Linked DNA regions of Oryza sativa Japonica Group. The protein of the gene in region 1 interacts with the protein of each later gene in a pairwise test. Links are inferred from orthologs where the notes say so. Each region holds a gene or a part of one and is shown in the gene's direction. Other genes may lie near its edges.

The links.
Region 2: the proteins of B3 domain-containing protein VP1 (region 1) and bZIP transcription factor ABI5 homolog interact in a two-hybrid assay, tested with the Arabidopsis thaliana proteins (2 studies listed by BioGRID). The link is inferred for Oryza sativa Japonica Group from reciprocal best matches to the Arabidopsis thaliana genes ABI3 and ABI5.

What each region holds. Positions count from the first base shown.
Region 1 is NC_089035.1:40,358,700-40,362,711, reverse strand, and holds the start of B3 domain-containing protein VP1, read left to right. Parts: upstream 1-1,212; 5' UTR 1,213-1,322; coding exon 1,323-2,900; intron 2,901-3,095; coding exon 3,096-3,185; intron 3,186-3,402; coding exon of another isoform or gene 3,403-3,405; coding exon 3,406-3,503; intron 3,504-3,957; coding exon 3,958-4,004; intron 4,005-4,012. UniProt on the Arabidopsis thaliana protein: Participates in abscisic acid-regulated gene expression during seed development. Regulates the transcription of SGR1 and SGR2 that are involved in leaf and embryo degreening.
Region 2 is NC_089035.1:37,800,300-37,803,874, forward strand, and holds bZIP transcription factor ABI5 homolog, read left to right. Parts: upstream 1-1,212; 5' UTR 1,213-1,260; coding exon 1,261-2,232; intron 2,233-2,320; coding exon 2,321-2,392; intron 2,393-2,515; coding exon 2,516-2,545; intron 2,546-2,687; coding exon 2,688-2,780; 3' UTR 2,781-3,075; downstream 3,076-3,575. UniProt on the Arabidopsis thaliana protein: Participates in ABA-regulated gene expression during seed development and subsequent vegetative stage by acting as the major mediator of ABA repression of growth.

The sequences.
Region 1 (4,012 bases):
TTTTGTTTGCATCCATGAATCAATATATCAATTGATTCCACGGATATTGAAAAGGACACGTAGTCGTAAATGTGTATTATAGATTTATTGGCTCATTTTAAAGTACAAACTTGCAAAAAAAAAATAAAATCCTTGGATGATGTCGCATGGGTTATTTGGGTGCTCCTCATCACTAAGGACACCAAAGAAAACATATTTTTTAATCTGATTTTGGGGGCCTGTCTGTCATTTTCAAATGCATTTGTTGCGAAGCAAACAAGCAAAGAGAAAGTGGAAATTTGCTCTTACCCCTGCAAAACATGTATCCTACCTAGCCGCATCCTCCGATCGAACAAGACAAAGCAAATGCTCCACCCACAGTTCCACACGCAACGGCCAGAACAAGATCACGTATGCCATGGCATTGCCATGCCTCTGCTTAGCGCTTACGCTTCCCGGCTGCTGGTGATCGATCGAGCTGGGCCGTTCGCTGCATGTGTTCACACGGGCCACCTCCACTGCAACCAATGGTAAAATCCCACGTCATCGTAACCAAGGTGCGACCCACACCTCCACGTCATCATCTCCAGCTCGTGTAGGTTTCGTACGTGCGCGTAGAAAAAACGCACCCCATATTCCTAATCCAGACAGCACACAGGTCTCCTCCCGAAGATGGCGTCCGTTCGATCACGCGGTGGTTCGGATCGGACGGCTCGGAAACACCGGACGCGTAGCCCCTTAGTCGGCGCGGACGCGACACGGACATCCTACGGCGCGCATAAATCGCTACGCGCACACGACCCTACCACTCTATGGTTTTCCTTTTGGGTCCCACATGTCATTGGACCACAGGCAAGAACGCTCCTCTCCCTCCCCCTCTGCCGCGGCGGTCAAAACCAGCACGCGCCGAAATCCCGTACTTCCCACTGACACGTAGGCCCCACTGTCATTGACCGTTACAACTCAGGAAAAAAAAGGGGAACCCCACCCACCAGAAACGCAGCCCCCAGCAATGATAAGTGGGCCCAGAGGAAATGTGGGGCCCACGGGTCAGTGGGACGTGGCCGTGCCGTGCGGGGGGCGAAAGGTACGGTCGCTGAGGAGAGGCTGGCGTGGGCGGTGGAGCGCTTCCCACAGCCCTCGGCGGCCGCCACGTGTGGGCCGCAGCCGCATCTCTTCTCTCTCTACTCTCCCACCCTCCACCTCCCGCTGCTTCTCCTGTTCGTCTCCTTTCTCAGTAACTGCACCCACCTCCACACCTACACGCACACAGACAAACAAAGCCAAACCCCCCGCCTCGCCTACATCTCGCGCTCTCCGCCCCCCGCCCGCCTCCACTCTGCATGGACGCCTCCGCCGGCTCGTCGGCGCCGCACTCGCACGGGAACCCGGGGAAGCAGGGTGGCGGCGGCGGCGGCGGCGGCGGACGGGGGAAGGCCCCGGCGGCGGAGATCAGGGGTGAGGCGGCGAGGGATGACGTCTTTTTCGCTGACGATACCTTCCCGTTGCTCCCGGACTTCCCGTGCCTTTCTTCCCCGTCAAGCTCAACCTTCTCGTCGTCGTCGTCGTCGAACTCGTCCAGCGCTTTCACCACCGCGGCGGGAGGGGGTTGCGGCGGTGAGCCGTCCGAGCCGGCCTCGGCGGCGGACGGGTTTGGTGAGCTCGCCGACATAGACCAGCTCCTCGACCTCGCGTCGCTGTCCGTCCCGTGGGAGGCCGAGCAGCCGCTGTTCCCGGACGACGTTGGCATGATGATAGAGGACGCCATGTCCGGGCAACCGCATCAGGCGGACGACTGTACCGGCGACGGCGATACGAAGGCGGTGATGGAGGCGGCCGGGGGAGGAGACGACGCCGGCGACGCATGCATGGAGGGGAGTGATGCGCCCGACGATCTGCCGGCGTTCTTCATGGAGTGGCTCACGAGCAACCGTGAGTACATCTCCGCCGACGACCTCCGCAGCATCCGCCTCCGCCGATCCACCATCGAGGCGGCGGCCGCGCGGCTCGGCGGCGGGCGCCAGGGCACCATGCAGCTGCTCAAGCTCATCCTCACCTGGGTGCAGAACCACCACCTCCAGAAGAAGCGCCCCCGCACGGCGATTGACGACGGCGCCGCGTCGTCGGACCCTCAGCTCCCCAGCCCCGGCGCAAACCCCGGCTACGAGTTCCCCTCCGGTGGCCAGGAGATGGGCTCCGCCGCCGCCACATCCTGGATGCCCTACCAGGCCTTCACGCCGCCAGCCGCGTACGGCGGCGACGCCATGTACCCAGGCGCCGCCGGCCCGTTCCCTTTCCAGCAGAGCTGCAGCAAGAGCAGCGTGGTCGTGAGCAGCCAGCCGTTCTCCCCGCCGACCGCGGCGGCGGCGGGCGACATGCATGCGTCGGGCGGAGGGAACATGGCCTGGCCGCAGCAATTCGCGCCGTTCCCCGTCTCCTCCACGAGCTCCTACACCATGCCGTCGGTCGTGCCACCGCCGTTCACCGCCGGATTCCCCGGGCAGTACTCCGGCGGCCACGCCATGTGCTCTCCACGCCTCGCCGGAGTCGAGCCGTCCTCGACAAAGGAGGCCCGGAAGAAGCGGATGGCGAGGCAGCGCCGCCTCTCCTGCCTGCAGCAGCAACGTAGCCAGCAGCTCAACCTGAGCCAGATCCACATCTCCGGCCATCCACAGGAGCCCTCCCCTCGCGCCGCGCACTCGGCGCCGGTCACCCCGTCGTCGGCCGGCTGCCGGAGCTGGGGCATCTGGCCGCCGGCGGCCCAGATCATCCAGAATCCCCTATCAAACAAGCCCAATCCTCCTCCCGCCACGTCGAAGCAGCCGAAACCCTCGCCGGAGAAACCGAAGCCGAAGCCGCAGGCGGCGGCGACGGCCGGAGCGGAGAGCCTTCAGCGCTCGACGGCTTCAGAGAAGCGGCAGGTGTGCATGCATGCAGACGATTGACATCAATCGCTATCCACCATAGCTAGGATCTCACGCGAGTGAGAACTCGATTCTCCTCCTCACACACACTCCACACACTCAAAACTCACTCACTCACATCGCTGTCCAGGGATAGAATCTCCAATATTTATCAACCTAGCTAATTAAACGGCATCGATTGGATTGCTGCAGGCGAAGACGGACAAGAACCTGCGGTTCCTGCTGCAGAAGGTGCTGAAGCAGAGCGACGTCGGGAGCCTCGGCCGCATCGTGCTCCCCAAAGTGAGACAGTCACCACCATCTCGAACACCTTCTCCTTCCAAATCCACTACCCCACTTGGCACAAATCCATTCCATGGAAGGATCCCACTTGCACACACTCACATACTTGATGTTTCTCCCCTAATCAAAGACGGAATTTGCCTGAACCTTCTCTTCACATTTCCGATCATGGTAGAACTAAAAAGTCTCCCCTTTCTTGATCTGTGGATGGTTTCAGAAGGAAGCAGAGGTTCACCTGCCGGAGCTGAAGACGAGGGATGGTGTCTCCATCCCCATGGAAGACATCGGGACGTCTCAGGTGTGGAACATGCGGTACCGGTGAGTAATCAACATTCGATCGAAGCATCAAGCATGATTTGGGATTGCTTATTAAGCTTGTTTAAGTCCACTTGCTTCTTTGTTAATTGGGAGGGGATAGAAACCTCTGAACCAGAAATAGTAAATGACTATGGGATGGTCCCTTTCCCAATTGGGCAAGTGGGTCATACGAACATATCATTGGAATCTGGGAGTCAAATAGGAGCATGCATTCATCGTGTTCTATGTTGATGCTCAAGTGCATACAACAAAAAAATAAAAGTGATCTTTTCCTGCTGTTTTCAGTACTAACATTATGCATATGATTTTTGCTGGTTCTGCTGAGCTCATGTTTTTGATTAATTAATTTAATTATTTCCATTGGCAATATTATATATGCACAAGTTATTCGAATACATGATGGCTTAGATTTTGATTCACTGACATTAATGGATATTGATTTTCATGAACACAGGTTTTGGCCCAACAACAAAAGCAGGATGTATCTTCTCGAAAACACAGGTGAATAG
Region 2 (3,575 bases), about 2.6 Mb from region 1:
GTGCTGGTGCCGCCCGTCATCTCCTATGGCTTGGTTCAACCAAAACTTCGTCCTTGCAGCCAAAGATGACGAAATCTCTATCTTCATCTTTAAAAGTAGTGCTCTGGTGTTATGCCACTCCGTACAACAAAATATAAAAATATCATTTTTTTTCTACAATGATGATTGTTAATTACTTCTGTTATAAATATTGTTTGAAAGACCAGCAATATTGTCAATATCCAACTTTCAAGCTAGCAAAATGTATGCATATATTTTTTTATGAATTACCTGGCAAACCTATCTCTAGTTGTGTCATATACCTATAGTCCCATAGTGTGACTTTTGGATGTACATCGTTAATCTTTAGAAAAATATAATGCGACATCTCAGTACTATTTCGGTTGGTCACAAGAAAATCATATTATTATATGTACTAGATTTTTCAATTATACAAAGAAAATAAGTAGTCAAAGTTGATTTTTGTAAATTGTGCCAATTTTAAAAAATGATACATTTTCATGACTGGAGGGAGTATACTTGCGACAGTTTAGCAATACCAAACAAGACCAACAATTCAATGCACTTGACCAAGTATTTGAACCCAATACACTTTGTATGAAGCAAGCACTTTAAACTAATACCCACTTCAGCTATTTCAGATGTCTAGTCAAATGGCCAGCAAACGTTAAATGATAGTGTAATTATATTTATATTAGTACCTCATCAGTGTCTTGAAGTCCAGAAAAAAAGAGGGTGAGTCCAAGGTATACCTCCATCCGAATGATGCTATGCCTGAAAACCTTCAACACCGTGTGAATTATGGTGAGAGTAATTTCGCCCTACGCAAATTATGCCAGTAACGTTCTCTATGCATTCAAGGCATCCATATATGTAGCATTCATGTGAGCAACACATTTTTTCCATATCATCTATGTTAAAATAAAGCAGTATGAAAGATTCATCAAGAAAATAAGGCATAAGCCAACTTCCAAACTTGGGAGTGCTTATCTGGTTATCTACCATCCATACGTAATCGCCTAGAACTTCAAGCCAAGCACATCATCAGTTGCACACTCTTTTAATAAAGTACATATGACAAACAACACACCTACCTTAAGTTTTTTGGATGCAGTCATGTTACACCTTTCAACCCTCTTCTATGTTCTAACAGCCAACTTCGTTTTTGCATCACAGGCTATAAAAAGGGGTGGCATCCATAGCTGAAGGGACACACCTAGAAAATTTAATAGAACTTTACAAATTGAGTGTTATAGTGAGATGGCATCGGAGATGAGCAAGAACGTGAAGGTCACCGATGATCAAGAGGTTACATCACAGGAGCGTGACCAAAGTGGTGGTACAAAAGTAGGTGGGGAGGAGGAAATTGCTCCACTGGCGCGGCAGTCGTCAATCCTCTCCCTCACCTTGGAAGAGCTACAAAACTCCTTGTGTGAGCCAGGACGCAACTTTGGTTCCATGAACATGGACGAGTTTGTGGCTAACATATGGAATGCTGAAGAATTCCAGGCTACCACCGGAGGTTGCAAGGGTGCCATGGAGGAAGCCAAGGTGGTAGACAGTGGAAGCGGAAGCGGTGATGCAGGAGGAAGCGGTTTATGTCGGCAGGGATCATTTTCCTTGCCGCTACCGCTGTGCCAGAAGACGGTGGAGGAGGTGTGGACTGAGATCAACCAAGCCCCTGCACACACCTCCGCTCCGGCCTCCGCGCTCCAGCCACATGCCGGGAGCGGTGGTGTTGCAGCTAACGACCGACAGGTAACACTAGGTGAGATGACACTTGAGGATTTCTTGGTAAAGGCCGGGGTGGTCCGAGGGTCCTTTACCGGGCAAGCGGCCATGGGATCTGGCATGGTCAACGGGCCGGTGAACCCCATGCAGCAGGGCCAAGGCGGTCCTATGATGTTCCCAGTAGGACCGGTAAACGCCATGTATCCGGTGATGGGTGATGGCATGGGGTACCCCGGTGGGTACAACGGGATGGCGATTGTGCCACCGCCACCTCCCGCCCAAGGTGCCATGGTTGTCGTGAGTCCTGGATCATCAGATGGGATGAGTGCCATGACACATGCTGATATGATGAATTGTATTGGGAATGGGATGATGATTGAGAATGGAACAAGAAAGCGTCCCCACAGAGAGGATGGCTGCGCCGAGAAGACGGTGGAGCGCCGCCAACGGCGCATGATCAAGAACCGTGAGTCAGCTGCACGGTCCCGTGCTAGAAAGCAGGTACACATGTTGCTCCGAACCTTTTAGTTTCTATGTATCGTTAAGACATTTTGCATGGAGATTGAAATTTTTATGAATAATGCTACAGGCTTATACGGTGGAGCTCGAAGCTGAACTGAACTATCTCAAGCAGGAGAACGCTCGTCTCAAAGAGGCAGAGGTATTAAAGCAAGAAACATTATCCACTCAGCTTTCATTGTCATTCCTAAACAGTCTCGTTCCTTCCTTTTCTGTAACATTGAACTGATAAATATACAATGTCTATATTATCTTCCTTTTACAGAAGACGGTTCTACTGACAAAGAAGCAAATGGTATTGTCCTCTCCCATGTGGCAATCCCCATTCCGCATAGTGCTCATCGTTTTGTGAAATTATTAAATACATATTTGTTATTCATTTATTTGTGTGTGTATATATGCTCATGGAAATATGTCGTGTTCCTGTGATTTTTCAGCTGGTTGAGAAAATGATGGAGCAGTCCAAGGAGAAGATGAATGCAAATAGGGGTGGCAGCCAGCTGCGCCGCAGCGGCAGCTGCATGTGGTGAAACGGGCATAGCGGTGACCGGCGAGTGGCACACTCATCCTGCTTCTGGTGTGGCACTAGCCTCTGAGGCTCTGAAGAGGATTTGCACATTAAGTCTTCTTTCAGACTAAGTGATGTGAAGGTATTATGGTAGTAGTTGATATACATATATGCTGTGATGCTTGTAAACCTGCCTGGACCCACATGTCTTGCCATCGTGTTCACCGGTCCTTGCTGCTTATATGGTTACATGTCGCTGTTTGTACAAAACAACGATGAATAAAATTATACAATAGTATACTAGTTTGTATCTGTAAGTTTGTTCTCATGTCATATGCGCTGGAAAAAGAAAAGCTACAGTATAGGCAAACCTTGGTAGTATCGATTACGGCCCAAATTTCTGGCCGAATAAACTGGAAACCGAAACAAGCTGATGATGATTTGGGCTTTGCGATGGCGAAAAGTTCGGCTTCTATGATCCGATGGAAAAGTTGACGCGAGGTTACACGGTTTGCTAGTTTGTGGGAATTCCCCGATCCTCGGTTAATCTCGCCGTGTTGCCGTCGCTTGAGCAGGAGCAGGGATGCAAGCGGGACAGGCAAGCGGGTTTTTTTCCCGCTTATCCCACTTCTAGTCTATCTTTTTTTTAAATTTTGTACTACTATAAAAAAAATAAACTAGCAAGCAGGTTTTTATGCAGGTAGCGGGATTACCTACTTACATCCCTAAGCACGAGGTTGCCAGCATCGGGCTTAGCGTCTCCACTCGTGTTCGTGTTGGTTCCTACCTCTCCAAGTCTCTACAAGTCTAATACTCT